Linked DNA regions of Anolis sagrei. The protein of the gene in region 2 interacts with the protein of the main gene of each other region in a pairwise test. Links are inferred from orthologs where the notes say so. Each region holds a gene or a part of one and is shown on either strand. Other genes may lie near its edges.

The links.
Region 1: the proteins of ZFYVE19 (region 2) and VPS4B interact in binary tests that used the Homo sapiens proteins (3 or more experiments, as listed by UniProt). The two-hybrid records come from large-scale screens. The link is inferred for Anolis sagrei from reciprocal best matches to the Homo sapiens genes ZFYVE19 and VPS4B.

Annotation. Positions count from the first base shown.
Region 1 is NC_090024.1:89,438,354-89,447,048, reverse strand, and holds the start of VPS4B (vacuolar protein sorting-associated protein 4B), read right to left. Parts: upstream 3,282-8,695; 5' UTR 3,013-3,281; coding exon 2,989-3,012; intron 1-2,988.
Region 2 is NC_090021.1:289,480,306-289,488,257, forward strand, and holds the start of ZFYVE19 (abscission/NoCut checkpoint regulator), read right to left. Parts: upstream 3,763-7,952; 5' UTR 3,649-3,762; intron 1-3,648. Other genes in the region: DNAJC17 (dnaJ homolog subfamily C member 17), read left to right, coding at 3,995-4,072. UniProt on the Homo sapiens protein: Key regulator of abscission step in cytokinesis: part of the cytokinesis checkpoint, a process required to delay abscission to prevent both premature resolution of intercellular chromosome bridges and accumulation of DNA damage.

The DNA of each region.
Region 1 (8,695 bases), on a different chromosome or scaffold from region 2:
AACCCTGGGAGCTGTAGTTTCACGAGGTACCAGAACTCTTTGGTAGAGAGGGCTAACAGCCTTGTGAAATGAGAACTCTCACGATTCCACAGCACTGAGCCATGGCAGTGAAAACAGTGTCATGGCATTAATTCTAGTCTGTAGTTGTATTCTTAGGCCCCTTCTACAAAGCTGCATAAAATCCAGATTATTTTCTATGTCCTGGATTATATGGCAGTGTGGACTCTGGGCCCTTCCACACAGCCCTTTATCTCAGAATATCAAGGCAGAAAACCCTACATTATCTGAGTGTGGACTCAAATAACCTAGTTCGTATAAGATATTGTGGGATTTTCTGCCTTGATATTCTCTGGAACTTTCTCCTGAAGGAGATTAGAATGGCCCCCACAATCCTCTCTTTCAGAAAGCAACTAAAACCTAATCTATGTTCCCAGGCTAATGAAGAATCCAATGTTTAATATCTGGCAAGGAATGGCCTAGGGATAGGACTTTTAACAATGGATATGGTTTATTAAATCTACCATTCTGGCTTTAAACCTTGCTATTTATTGTGTCTGTGATTTGTGTTGTTGTGATTTGTCTTCTATGTTGAGTTATGATTGTTTATATTATTTGTTAGTTTATTTTAATCCACTGTGTATTGTATTGTATTTTGTTTAATTTTTACTTTTGTTTATATAGGCATTGGGACCTGTTATCATGTCGGAAGCCGCCCCGAGTCCCCTTGGGGAGATAGGGTGGATTATAAATAAAGTATTCCTATTCTTATTATTATTGCATTTTTATTTATTATGTATTGTGTGGAATTTAATGGTTGCCATCATGTTGTGAGCCCCCATGAGGAGATGGGATGGAATGCAAATAAAGTTTGATGATGGGTTGCTGTCAATTTTTCAGGCTGTATGGTCATGTTCCAGAAGCATTCTCTCCTGATGTTTCACTCATATCTATGGCAGGCATCCTCAGAGGTTGTAAGGTATGTTGGAAACCTGGCATGTCCAGGGTGGGAGAAAGAATTCTTGTCTGTTTAAGGCAAGTGTGAATGTTGCAATGGACAGCTTGATTGGCATTGAAAAACCTTGCAGCTTTAAAGCCTGGTTGTTTCCTGCCTGCTGGAATCCTTTGTTGGGAGGTGTTAGCTGGCCCTGATTGTTTCCTGTCTGGAATTCCCTTTTTTAGTGTTGCTCTTTATTTACATTTCATGCTAATCAAGGTGGCCAACTGCAACAACCACACCTGCCTCCAACAGACAAGAGTTTCTTTCTCTCACTCTGGACATTCCACAGATATATAAACCCCACTTGCTAAGTTTCCAACAGACCCCTGCACCTCTGAGGATGCCGGTTATAGATGTGGGTGAAACGTCAGGAGGGAATGCTTCTGCAACATGGCCTTACATCCCGGAAAACTCACAGCAGCCATATCATTATTATTATATTTTTGATTTATTATGTATCGTGTGGCATCAAATGGTTGCTATCCATGTTGCGAGACATCCTGAGTCTGCATGGGAAGATGGGACGGGATACAAATAAAGTTTGATGATGATGATATGGCAATGTAGAAGGGCCCTTAGACACTGACTCCCTAACGTTGGCCCTCCACTTTTGCACTTCAACTCTGGGCAGCCTCAGGGCCCTTTAATCCTGGAGCTGATCCCAGATTTTCTGCTTTAAACTGGATGATATGAGTCCGCACTACCAGATAATCTGGGATCAACAGAAAACCTATGATCATGCTGCATTATCATGGCGTGTCTGCGCCCTACACCACTGGAGAAATTACACTGTTTAGCCGGTATTGCACCAACTGACATCTGCTGGGAAGTAGCAGCCAATAGTAAAAGGACCAAGTCAGTGACACCTCCGGCCCACCCCCTATCCCCGTTTGGGTATCAGCTAGCACGGCAATGACTTAAATCAAGAAATAGTTTTCTAAGATCTACAGAGACACTTGCTGGAACACCTCAGCAAGCAAGAGTCCAAAAGTGGCAGGCTAAAACCCAGTACCTCAATCAATGGCTGATACCAAATGAGAGACTCCGTCCTGAGCACACAGAAAACTGGGCGACTTGGAAGGTGCTTAAAAGACCGTGCTTAAAAGAGCCAACCTTAAAAAATGGGGCTACAAAGTGGAATCCACGACATGCGAGTGTGAAGAAGAGCAAACCACAGACCATTTACTACAATGCAACCTGAGCCCTGCTACATGCACAATGGAAGACCTTCTTATAGCAAAACCAGAGGCACTCCAAGTGGCCAGCTACTGGTCAAAGGACATTTAATCAACTACCAAGTTGTATTGTCGAAGGCTTTCATGGCTGGAATCACTGGGTTGTTGTAGGTTTTTTCGGGCTGTATGGCCATGGTCTAGAGGCATTCTCTCCTGATGTTTCGCCTGCACTTTGGCAAGCATCCTCAGAGGTAGTGAGGTACAAATTTTGTGTTTTGTTTGCTTGTTTTTAATGCAATACAACTGTTTGGTTCGCTCCTGACACGATCAATAAATATCCTGGGATAAAAGGCCTGTCTGGAAGGGCCCTCGGTCACTTTGGCCAAAGGTCAGGGATTCTGGGAGTTGAAGTTCAAAACATTTACAGGGGCAGAGTTTGGGAACAACCGGTTAATGGGGTGAGAGATGTAGTCTGACCCGTTTGGAGGAGGATTGCCTAGTTAGCGGCATCTTTGTGATTACATAAGGCGGCAGGAGTTTGATAATCAAGGCACACAGCCATATTACTCAGAATATCAAGGCAGAAAGTCCCACAATATCTGCTTTGAAGTGGGTTGTCTGAGTCCACACTGCCATATATCCCAGTTCAAAGCAGGGGTTTTATTCAGCTGTGTGGAAGGGGCTTAAGTTCAGGATGAAATAAGCTTCGAGCTGGGCTTGCCCTCAAGCTAGGCCTCTCCTCTGCTCCAACTCGCAGCCACACCGTGACCAGGCCTCTCCCAGGCGCGACCTGGGTTTCGACGGGGAAATGCTCACCTGCAAGTTGGACGTGGCCGCCATGATGGGCGGAGCTGTCAGGGAGGGCGGCGAAGAGCCGAAGAGGAAAGGAAGCCTCCTAAGAGTCCGCTCCAAAGAAATATGTATATATATTCAGGCCCTCCGCTGAGAAAGGCAAGAAGAAACACTAAAAAAATCCCGAGTCCTCGGCTACTTCCGCGACCCAGTCCCACCGCCGGGCGAAAAGGGAAACCACGCTGCTCTTCCGCTTCCGCTCAGCTCCCGTGACGTCACGGCCGCACCCGGCCCTGGAGTTGGGAAGGAGGAAGAAGCGGAGGGAGACTGGGAAGGAAGTGAGAGGGCGGTGACGCATGCGCAGGTGAGAAGGAGCCGCGAGGCCGCAACAGCGCATGCGCAAAGGGCTTCCCGGTTTGCTCCATCCTGTTCAGCTGTTTTTTTTTGGGAGCCGTGACGTTTTGCCTGCGCGTGACCGGAAGGGACGCAGGTGTAGCTGAGCCCATATTGACATCCTCTCCTCCGCCTTAATTATCTTATTACCACTAGCGGTCCCCTGCCACGCGTTGCTGTGGCCCAGTCTGGTGATATGGAAAATAAAGTAATTAGAAAGTGCTGATTTCTAATTGATGTCTTTATGCTTGTGGGTAAACAGTATTTCTTGCTATTGTCGAAGGCTTTCATGGCTGGAATCACTAGGTTCTTGTGGGTTTTTCCGGGCTATAGGGCCATGTTCTAGAGGCATTTCTTCTGACGTTTCGCCTGCATCTATGGCAAGCATCCTCAGAGGTAGTGAGGTCTGTTGGAATTAGGACAATGGGTTTATATATCTGTGGAATGGCTGGGGTGGGGCAAAGAGCTCTTCTCTGCTGGAGCTAGGTGTGAATGTTTCAACTGACCACCTTCATTAGCATTTGAAGGCCTGGCTGAGCCTGGGAAAATCTTTTGTTGAGAGGTGTTAAGATGTGCCTGGTTGTTTCCTCTCTGCTGTTTTGCTGTTGTAATTTTAGAGTTTTTTTAATACTGGTAGCCAGATTTTGTTCATTTTCACGGTCTCCTCCTTTCTGTTGAAATTGTCCACATGCTTGTGGATTTCAATGGCTTCTCTGTGTAGTCTGACATGGTGGTTGTTGGAGTGGTCCAGCATTTCTGTGTTCTCAAATAATATGCTGTGTCCAGGCTGGTTCATCAGGTGCTCTGCTATGGCTGACTTCTCTGGTTGAAGTAGTCTGCAGTGCCTTTCATGTTCCTTGATGCGTGTCTGGGTGCTGCGTTTGGTGGTCCCTATGTAGACTTGTCCACAGCTGCATGGTATACAGTAGACTCCTGCAGAGGTGAGAGGATCCTTCTTGTCCTTTGCTGAACGTAGCATTTGTTGGATTTTCTTGATGGGTTTGTAGATTGTTTGTATGTTGTGTTTCCTCATCAGCTTCCCTATGCGGTCAGTGGTTCTCTTGATGTATGACAGGAACACTTTTCCTCTGGGTGGATCTTCGTCTTTATTCTCGTGGCTTGTTCTCGGTCTTGCAGCTCTTCTGATATCTTAGGTGGAGTATCCGTTGGCCTGTAAGCCCAGCTTAGGTGGTTCAGTTCATCTTGGAGGAGGTGGGGTTCGCATATTCTTTTTTCACCAAGTCTGCCAAGTCTGCCAAGTCTTTAATGGTGCTTCTTTTTTGACTTGGGTGATGGCTGGAGTTTTTATGTAGATATCTATCTGTGTGTTTGGGTTTTCTGTAGACGGTGTGACCCATAGGTGCAGGCAAAACGTCAGGAGAAATGCCTCTAGAACATGGCCCTATAGCCCGAAAAAACCCACAAGAACCTAGTATTTCTTGCTATTTCTTTGTCAGTGTTGATGTGGAGATTGTCTGGTTTTCCTACTCTGGAACATGCAACATACAATTGTCCTTTTAAAGGGGTCTCTTTCAAATCTATAATACTTTATCTGTGTGTGTGTGAATCATATATATCTATATATGAGGCTCAGGCGTCAGTGGTGGCCGGGAGGGCCTTTGCACAACTAAAACTTGTGCGTCAACTGCGACCATACCTCGGGAAGGCGGATCTGGCCAAGGTGGTCCATGCCTTAGTCACCTCTAGACTGGATTACTGCAATGCACTCTACGTGGGGCTGCCCTTGAAAACAGCCCGGAAATTTCAGATGATCCAACGGGCAACAGCCAGGTTGTTAACTGGGGCTCCGCCTGTTCAAGGAGCTCCACTGGCTGCCATTCATCTACCAGACCCAATTCAAGGTTCAAGTTCTTACCTACAAAGCCCTGAACGGTTTGAGACCTGCCTACCTACGTGATCGCATCTCTGTATACGAACCCACACGATCCCTTCAATCTTCTGGAGAGGCCCTGCTCTCGATCCCACCAGCATCGCAGGTGCGTTTGGTGGGGATGAGGGAGAGGGCCTTTTCAGTGGTGGCCCCTCGACTCTGGAACTCACTCCCTAAAGATATCAGACAGGCTCCAACTCTGGCAGTCTTCAGGAGGAGCTTGAAGACGTGACTGTTCCAGTGTGCCTTCCCGGAATGATGATCCCATAGCACTCTGTCCTTCAAAGCACTTTACATTTCCCTGAGTCTGCTTGTATGCCCTCCACAAACACCAGTATCACCTTTCGTTTCATGGCCCAATTTTAACTCTACATTGGGCCTTCCCACTGTTTTTAATTATGTGTTGCTTTTTTGATAATGTTGTGTACTTTTGTCTATGTTTTTTAATTGCTTGTATTGATGTTTTATTGCTTTTGTTGTTGTGTTTGGGCTCGGCCTCATGTAAGCCGCACCGAGTCCCTTGGGGAGACGGTAGCGGGGTACAAATAAAGTTAATAAATAAATAAATAAATATTTATTTATTTACTGCGCTTATATACCGCAATTCTCAGCCCAGGGGCGACTCATTGCGGTGTACAACATAGAAAAACAGGTGCAAAATACAAGACATAGTGTAAAAATAATCCATAATTCATCATTATCAAAAACATCCTAATCAAAAACATCAACATTACTACAAAAGCCATTCCATGTCGTCTCATCGTCAAACCCACAATCTGATAATATTTTCGTTGTTCCATTCCTATGGTCAAATTATCAATCATTGCACTTCTTGTTCAAATGCCTTCTTAAACAGCCAGGTCTTTAATTTCCTGCGGAATATCAACAGGGAGGGAGCTAGCCTGATGTCCACAGGAAGGGTGTTCCACAGCCGAGGCGCCACCACCGAGAAGGCCCTATCTCTCGTCCCCGCGGGATGGCTCTCTGTCAGGAGGGCTTTGATTACTTTTTTTGCCCTGGTGAAGGGAGTTGGACTGGATAGCCTTAAGTATTTTCTGTTGGTCATGAGGATTCTGTGTGGGAAGTCTGCCCCAGTTCTGTCATTCGTGGGGTTCATTCAGAATGGTCTTTGATTGTAGGTGAACTATAAATCCCAGTAACTACAACTCCCAAATGCCAAGATCTATTTCTCCCAAACTCTATCTGTGTTCATATTTGGGCATATGGAATATTTGTGCCAAGTTTGGTCCAGATCCATCATTGCTTGAGTCCACAGTGCTCTCTGGATGTAGGTGAACTACAACTCCCAAACACAAGGTCAATGCCCACCAAACGCTGCTAGTGTTTTCTGTTGGTCCAGTCTGGTGATCTAATGAGAAAGTGTTTCTAATAAATGTCATGTGTTTATGCTTGTGGGTAAACAGATTTTCTTGCTGTTTCTTTGCCAGTGTTGATGTGGAGATTGTCTGGTTTGCCTGCTCTGGAACATACAACGTATCGTTATTCTTCTTTGAAAGTGTTGTTTCCTATTTAATTGTGCAATACTTAACTTTGAAAGTAGTTATACCCCAGAAACTTCATTTTTTTTTGTGGCTGCCACAAACTATGTTGAATTGGTTTAGATTATATGAGATATTTATTGAAAAACTATAGCTGCAGGATTTTTTTTGGACACAATTCAAATTCCATTTTCTTACCCTATGTTTAAAAAGGTAAAGATTGGCCCCTGACATTAAGTCCAGTCATGTCTGACTCTGGGGTGTGGTGCTCATCTCCATTTCTAAGCCGAAGAGCCGGTGTTGTCCATAGACACCTCTAAGGTCATGTGGCCAGCATGACTGCATGGAGCACTGTTACCTTCCCACTGGAGTGGTACCTATTGATCTACTCACATTTGCATGTTTTCGAACTGCTAGGTTGGCAGTTTACTGTTTACAGTTTACTGAATCAAAATACAAAAGAATATTGCACTCCATTAGCAAAGGGTGCATCTACACTGTGCAATTAGTGCAGTTTGACAACACTTTAGGTACAGTGACTCAGTAACATGGAATCCTGGAATCCTGGACTAACTAGCTTGGTGAGACACCAGCACTCTTTGGCAGAAAAGAGCAAATGCCTTACAAGACTACATAGCCCATGATTATAAACTGCCAAAGTTTTTGCTGCATATTCAAGAGTAGTTTAATTTGGCATAAGGGGTTTTTTATTGCAGGCAATTTCATTACAAATTAAAAAGAGTTAGCTGTTCAGATGTGCTACCAAATTGCAGAGCAGGAGCAGAGAACCTTTGACAGACACCCAAACCAATATATTCAACTGCCACTTTCATAATCCTTTAAGGTGGGTCATGCTGTGTGATGCATAAACTGCAAAAATCTGAACTGATTCAAGCATCCATAGCTCTACACTTAACTATTTGAATTGTGTCCAAAAAACATCATGCAAGTCAGTGCAGTTATTAAAAATGTGTGCAATGTTGCTGACAAAGCACATTCATCATGAAATCTAGATGGCCTATTTGGATTAGTTGCTGTGTTTGGCCTTTTCTCCACCAGGTGAATTACTAAATTAACAATGTCATAAGTTTATTTTTTATTTGTTACCCACCTCTCCTCTTAGCTCAAGTTGGCGTACCGATTTTCTGGATCCATCACGGTCTGGTACCCACCTAGTCCATCTTTTGCAAAGATCTAAAAACATGGATGTTCCATTATGCTTTTGATTAGATGGTTCCCAGAAAATGTTGGCTCCAGCTATGACTCAAAATCTAGCCCTTGCACTTTCCTGTCGTTCCCTACCCAGAGATATAGAGATCTACTATCCCTAATTTTGTCATCTGGAATTTGCACTTTATCCATCAGCCCTGTCCTCACAACTGATTTGCACCAGCCCATGTAAGCCACCCCTAGTCCCTTTGGAGAGATGGAGGTGAGATACAAAAATAAAGATATATATGTGTGTGTGTGTGTGTGTATTACAAACTATAACCTCATCCCACAAGAGGGGGTAGGCGTCACCTTATTGTTTCTCTTTCTTTTAAAGAAAGAGTCCCACAGAGCCCATGAAGTGACACAGGACTGCTTTCAGTGGATTTTGTTTTTAAACTGTAAAGAAATGGGAGACTTGTGAAGTTAGACACAAATCGATTCCACTGCTCTCCCTTCACACAGAATCGGCTAAACTGGGTATTTTAAGATGGGATGGGAACTGTTGTATTTTAAGATGGGACTGAACTATTGGATTTTAAGTTGGGATGTTTCCTGGCCTTCTGTTTCCTTTGGAAATGGAAGGCCACTGGATGCCACATTTATTATTATTATTATTATTATTATTATTATTATTATTATTATTATTTTATCCTGCTTTTCTTTCATGGGTGGGGTGGGTGGGGGAATAGTCTTCCATATTTAAAAAATAAAAATAAAAGGAGGAACATATATGCAG
Region 2 (7,952 bases):
TTTCTGCTCTCCCCTCAAGGTATGCAGAGGACTAAAATGTTTTTATGTCATTTTAACTTCACAATACTTTTTCTAAAGCATTTTAGCGGACACACTAAGAGGATATCCACATCCCACATTTCAATACCAATTTAACTATATTGTTTCCATATTATGGAATCCTAAGATTTGTAAATGTGAAGATGTTTAGGAGAGATGACAAGACTTCTTGCAGAGACTTATAAGTCCCTTCCAAAACTCCAAAGGATAGAATCCATAGGATAGAATCATCCATAGGATAGAATCATCACGTTAAAAGTGGCTTAAGACTGCTATAAGTGCACAGTACAGATACCGTATGTCTTCCGAGTATCGTACAGTAGAGATCTGAACGTATGATTCCCAAAACTCTTTATTATTTTAGTTGTCCAAAAAGTTTATTTATTTCTTACTTTTAAAACAAAATGCACCTGGATTTGTAACCACCAGTTGAAATATTGAACTTATTTTTCTTTCTGAAGGCATACATACTGGACACAGATATTTCTCTGTGGATTCTGTTCCACTATAACCTCCCCTCTCTGCATGGTTATCCCTTCTTTTTCCTCTTTTAAGCAAAACTAAAAGCAGGAGGGATGGAAATGGTGATGATGATACAGGTATTCTTTATCCAGAATTCCAAAATCTTAATTGTTCTAGTATTTAAAATTGCCCACATAGGTGACACCTTTGCCTTGCTATGGTCCAGTATACACAAACTTTGATTCCATCTACTCTGACCACTTAGCTGTGTGATAACATGAGAAAAGGCAGTGATTTCACAGGGAGCAATGAGAGAAATATATCATTTCAGGTGAGGGGTCTATCAATTCCAGAGCAGGGGAATTCATAGGGAGGAGGGAGCAAGCTTGCTTTCTGCTGCCCTGGACACTAGGACATGGAACAATGGCTTCCAACTACAAGAAAGGAGATTCCACCTGAACATTAGGAAGAACTTCTTAACTGTGAGAGTTGTTTAGCAGTGGAACTCTCTACCCCAGAGGTGGTGCAGGCTCCTTCTTTGGAGGCTTTTAAGCAGAGGCTGGATGGCCATCTGTCAGTGGTGCTTTGAAATCGACTTTTCTGCTTCTTAGCAGGGGGTTGGACTGGATGGCCCACAACTCTATGATTCTAAGTGGGATCCTTTGGTCCCTGAATCAGACTGCCTTTGAAGATTTTAGTCAGCAAAGCAATCAGAGGACTGCGGAGACTCATGGGTGCCCACAAGAATCCACATGGTTAGACATAGTCTTGGAATGAGTTTGAGGCCTATATGGGACTTGTATGCATAGAAGACGCTGCCTTGAACAGCTTCAAGTATCCACAATATCCATGGCTCCATGGCTATGGTAGAATGGGGGGGGGTCCCCACACATACCTCACTGGAGCACTTGTCCCTGATCGGTCTCGCCATGTGAAATGAGGGCCTTTTTGGTGGCTGATCCCAAAATGTGGGACTCCCTCTCAAGAGAGACCAGAATGGCCCTTTCCTGCTTACCTTTCGCAAGTAGGTCAAGACCTTTCTGTGCCAGTAGGCCTTTGGGAGAGGATGGGGGGCATGCTGCTGAGGAGGTTGTGGGTGGGATTGTGGGGGGATTGTGAATTTTAGATATAATTTTAATTGTATTTATTATATTTTAACTGCATTTTAAAACATAAATCCATGCAGTATTATTTAATTCTTTGTTTGTTTTTGCTTTGTTTTAAATTGTGACCAGATTGTGTGGTTGTTAGATGCCATAAGTCCCCAAGGTGAGAAAGTAAGTAATAAACAAATAATAATAAAATAATATTGTCAAAGGCTTTCATGGCTGGAATCACTCAGTTCTTGTGGGGTTTTTTGGGCTATATGGCCATGTTCTAGAGGCATTTCTCCTGACGTTTCACCTGCATCTATTGCAAGCATCCTCAGAGGTGAGGTCCTCTGAGGATGCTTGACATAGATGCAGGCAAAACGTCAGGAGAAATGCCTCTAGAACATGGCCATATAGCCCGAAAAAACCCACAAGAACTGAATAAAATAATAAATAATAAACAAAGTAAATAATTGTCGAAGGTTTTCATGGCTGGAATCACTGGGTTGTTGTAAGTTTTTCAGGCTATATGGCCATATTCTAGAAGCATTCTCTCCTGACATTTCACCAGCATCTATGGCAAACATCCTCACAACCTCTGAAGATGCCAGGGACGCAGGCAAAATGTCAGAAGATAATGTTTCTAGAACACGGCCATATAGCCTGAAAAACCTACAACAATCCAAAGTAAATAATAAACATAAATTAATAAACATGATATATTAACACTGAGGCATGTTGGTGTGCATTAAGGGCTCTCTTTTAGAGCATTCCCTGACTTCTTTGCTTCTCCCTTCTCTTAATTGTGAAGAATATGTCATGTAAACATCACTCTGTCAAGCTGTATTCAGACTGCATTAAGTGGGTCAGTATAAGTGTGCCATTTGCTTCATGCACAAAAATGATTCCAAATATGGTGTGTAAAGTTAACTTCAGGCTATGTGTATAAATGAATTTCATGTTTATACTCTGGTCTCATTTTTTTTAAAAAAAATCACAATATTTATGTATTGGTAAGCACAGTTCTGGCCCTGCTTACCTGTCCGAACGTATCTCTCCTTACGAACCCTCTAGGAATTTAAGATCTTCTGCAGAGGCCCTGCTCTCGGTCCTGCCATCTTCACAGGCTTGACTGGCGGGGACGAGAGACAGGGCCTTCTCAGCGGTGGCCCCTCAGTTGTGGAATGCCCTCCCCAGGGACATTAGACTGGCCCCCACCCTCTTAACGTTCCGCAAAAAAAGTCAAAACCTGGCTATATGAGCAGGCTTTTCCAAACACAGTGTAGCTGTTAAACTCTGATCTTGGAACAGTTGGATAATGATTGGTAATGAAATGAGGACTTATGGTTTTTATTATGTTTTATTAATGATATTTGTAATGAAGTTTTATCTATGTTATATGATTTTAATGTTTAATTATCTCTGTATTGCTGTGGGCCACGAGTCGCCCTTGGGCTGAGAATGGCAGTATAGAAATATAGCAAATAAATAATAAATGTAATTACTCCAAAATGCAATAAAAATCCAAAACCCAAAGCATTATAAAGAAATATTATCAATTATCAATAATAAATAAACATTAATATTATGGTCCAAAGCATTTCAAATAAGACTCTACTGAACTGGGGGAGTGGGCCAGATGAGTCAGCTCTTTCAGCCCTGGAAATGAAGGCAGAATTGAAGGGTTCATATTATTATTATTATTATTAATGCCCCACTTCCTTCTATTAAAGGGGGCTCAAAGAGGCCCCCAACACCAAAAGCAGTACAAATTACAATGTAAAACCCGGAACATAGAAACATTAAAATAGAACTGCTGTAGTTTTCCTTCAGTGGCATGAAGCAGAGGCCCTCCTTGGAAAACCAAGGCCAGACTCCATACAAACCCACCGTTATGGAGATGGAAATGATGTTTCACTAAGGTTAAAGGGACTCAGGTCCTCCCCACTTGATACAGAAGGCAGCAGCCTCTCCTAATTTAGACTTGGGTGCCTTTTCTGCCCTCCCTCGGCATCTCTCAGTGAAACCCGCCACTCCAGGTAAGAGCAATACTCACTCACATCCCTCCTGTGGTCTCCCCCGCGAAGGAACAGGCGTCGGAGGAACTACACTTCCCAGAAACCCCCGCGCGGTGGCCGCCGGGAGCTCCCGAGGCTTCGCTTCCGAAGCGTCACGTGAGGCCCTTGACGGCGGGCGGAGGAGGGCCGCGAGGGCAGGAAGAAAAGCATGACGGGAATTGTAGTCTTGATTCCAATCGCCCTTCTATAGCGAAGGGTCGGGAAAAGACTACGTTTCCCAGGCGCAAAGGGGCCGTCGCGAGCTCCGGAGTGTTTGAGAGAGGAGGAGGGAAGAGGAGAGTCAACTGTTGCCGTTTGGACGGAGAAGTACTAGAGGGAGAAGGCATGGCGGTGGATAAGGAGCTGCTGGAGCTGGACCTGTACGCTCTGCTGGGCGTCGGCGAGAAGGCGGCGGATAAAGAGGTCAGCCGGGCGGGAAAGGCCCTTCCCCGGAGGGCTGAGGGGCGCGCTTGGGGTCCAGGCCTGCTTTTCCCCTTGGCCTCAGTTTCAGGCAAGGCCCATCTCGAGTGTGGCAGTTATTGGATTCCCAACAACATCTGGAGTGCCAGCAGTTGCCCGCCCTTCGTCTTACATTTGCTGTATACACCTGGGGAGCTTCTAGGCCAGTGTTTCTCAACCTGGGGGGGGGGGGGGGTCGCCAAAGACCATCAGAAAACACAGTATGTTTTTGTTGGTCATACGGGTTCTGCAAGGGAAGTTTGGCCCAATTATATTGTTATAGGATTCAGAATGCTCTTTGATTGCAGGTGAACTGTAAATCCCAGCAACTACAACTCCCAAATGTCAAGGACCATTTCCCCCAAACTCCACCAGTGTTCATATTGGGGCATATTGAATATCCGTGCCAAGTTTGGTCCAGATTCTTCATTGATTGAGTCCACAGTGCTCTCTGGGTGTAGATGAGTCCATCTAAACATGAGGAAGAACTTCCTGACGGTGAGAGCTGTTCAGTAGTGGAACTCTCTGCCCTGGAGTGTGGTGGAGGCTCCTTCTTTGGAAGCTTTTAAACAGAGGCTGGATGGCCATCTGTCAGGGGTGATTTGAATGCAATATTCCTGCTTCTTGGCAGGGGGTTGGACTGGATGGCCCATGAGGTCTCTTCCAACTCTTTGATTCTATGATTCTATGAGTATAGTGGAGTATAATGTCTAGATCCAGGGAAGTCTTGCTACTCCTATATTCTGCCTTGGTTAGACCACACCTGGAATATTGTGTCCAATTCTGGGCACCACAATTCAAGAGAGATATTGACAAGCTAGAATGTGTCCAGAGGAGGGCGACTAAAATGATCAAGGGTCTGGAGAACAAGCCCTATGAGGAGCGGCTTAAGGAGCTGGGCATGTTTAGCCTGAAAAAGAGAAGGCCAGGAGGAGACATGATAGCCATGTATAAATACGTGAGAGGAAGCCACAGGGAGGAGGGAGCAAGCTTGTTTTCTGCTTCCCTGGAGACTAGGACGCGGAACAATGGCTTCAAACTACAAGAAAGGAGATGCCATCTGAACATGAGGAAGAACTTCCTGACTGTGAGAGCTGTTCAGCAGTGGAAATCTCTGCCCCGGAGTGTGGTGGAGGCTCCTTCTTTGGAAGCTTTTAAACAGAGGCTGGATGGCCATCTGTCGGGGGTGCTTTGAATGTGATTTCTTGGCAGGGGGTTGGACTGGATGGCCTATGAGGTCTCTTCCAACTCTATGATTCTATGAACTACAACTCCAAAACTCAAGGTCAGTGCCCACCAAACCCAGTATTTTCTATTGGTCATGGGGGTTCTGTGTGGGAAGTTTGGCCCAATTCTCTCATTGATGGGGTTCTGAATGCTCTTTGATTGTAGGTGAACTATAAATTCCAGCAACTACAACTCTCAAATGACAAAAATCAATCCGTCCAACCCCACCAGTATTCAAATTCGGGCGTATTGGTTATTTGTGCCAAATTTGGTCCAGTGAATGAAAATACATCCTGCATATCAGATATTTATATTATGATTCATAAAAGTAGCAAAATCACAGTTATGAAGTAGCGATGAAAATAATTTTAAGGTTGGGGGTCACCACAACATGAGGGTATTAAGGGGTCGCGGCATTAGGAAGGTTGAGAACCACTATTCTAGAGATTATTCTTGAAAGCTGCCCTGCATGAAATACATTTCAACAACTTGCTTTGGGAGGTAACCAATGAATGGGAAACTGCTCTGGGAAACTGACCAGTTAGTTGTGACAATTCTGCATTCATATGCATATTACTTGGGATTAAAACCCATTAATTTATAATAGAATTTACTTCTGAAATATTTGTTGTCGTTTTAGCCTTTGGCAACACTTTGTCCTTTTAGTTTCTAAACTGGTACAAGATCGCTTAGAATCATAGAGTTGGAAGAAACCTCGTAGGCCATCCAGTCCAACTCCATGCCAAGAAGCATTGCATACTAAAAGTGGCATGGTGGCTTCTAGTGTGGTGAACTTTAGTCAGAAAAGGGACTCCGTTCTTTCCCATGTCAGTTCAAGTTACATTTTATTTTATTTTAATATGGAAAGCAAGTTAAGAATAATAAGAATACAGTTCCTCTTGTTGTCGTTGGGGGTCACCACAACAAGAGGAACTGTATTAAGGGGTTGTGGCATTAGGAAGGTTGAGAACCACTGTTCTAGGTGGCAAAATTAATCCAGTTTGACAGCACTTTAATTGCCAAGGCTCAGTGCTATGGAATTATGGGATATATAGGTTAGTGGACTTTGCTGCCAAAGAGTTGTCACGCCTCACCAAACTACAATTTTCATAATCCCATGGTATTGATCCATGGCAGTTAAAGTGGTGGCAAACTGCATTGATTCTACACTGTCAATGCATCCCTCAGATTTATAGAGACACACGGCCCTTCCAGACAGGCCCTATATCCCAGGATCTGATCCCAAGTTTTCTGTTTATCCCAGATGCAGACTCATATAATCCAGTTTAAAGCCAAAAACCTAGGTCTATAGTATGGGTGTGATTCTGGACACCTTAAATTTAGAAGCCTAGGTGGCAGAGATAACTAAGATAGCCTTTGCACATTTAAAACTTGTGTGCCAAATGCACTCGTTCCTGGAGAAATCAGGCCTGGGCACTGTAGTACACACTTTGGTGACATCTTGATTGGAATACTGTAACACACTCTATGTGGGGCTGCCCTTGAAGACAGTTCAGAAACTACAATTCTTTCAGACAATGACAGCCAGACTGTTAACAGGAGAGGAGGTAAGAGATCACACTACTCCACTGCTTAAACAGCTTCACTGGCTATCCATTAGTTTCCAGGTTCAATTCAAGGTGCTGGTTTTGACCTTTAAAGCTCTACAGGTCCTGACTACATGAGATAGCGTGATCCTCACTACATCCCTGGGAGATTGCTTACATCCAGTGAGGAGATCCTGGTGTCTACAACAACCGGGAAGGCTCCTTCTCCGGGGCTGGGCTACAAATGTGAAAAGCCCTTCCATTGGAGATTAGATCTACCCATACACTGCTTGGGTTCAGAAAAAGTCTCAAAGCATTCTTTTTAAGAAAGCTTTCAGGTGATTGGATTTATTGACATAAGTAGATGATAGCACTCAGGTGACTTTTAGGAACCCTTGCTTTAGGATTTTTAGTTTTATGTTAATACACAGGCTTTAATGTTTTTCAGCACTGTAAAATATTTAGTTTTATTGTGTATTATGTTTTGTTTTAATATTTGTATTGTGTGTATTTTATAAATGCTATTAGCCACCCTGGGCCCTTGAGTAGGGAAAGGCAGGATAAAAATAGTCTAAATAAATAAAATAAAATAAACAAATAAAGCAGAACACCTGGGGTCAGATCCTGGGCTGTAGGGCTTGCCTGGGAAAGCCCATAGAATGATAAGAGTTTATGCAAGGTATCTCATGGTAGCATAAAAGTTATTTCCTAACTGTAATACAATAAATTATTTCTATGTAAAAAAGCTATTCCTCAACATTCTTTCAGTGTCCCATCACACTCTCTGCCAGTGGTGAGGAACTTGTGGTTTCTCAACGTTTTCCTAAAACAGGGGTCCTCAAACTTTTTAAACCGGGGGCCAGTTTACTGTCCCTCAGACTGATGGAGGGCCGGACTATAGTTTTTTTTTTAAATCAATTAAAAAATTCCTATGCACATTGCACATATCTTATTTTGCTGTGTGGAAGGACTCTTAGAGGGGGTTCTTTCTAGACCTCTTTAGGCAGTAATTCCAGGAGCAGAGAATGGGAAATCTTCCTATTTCTAGTCTGAACAAAATCTAAAATTAT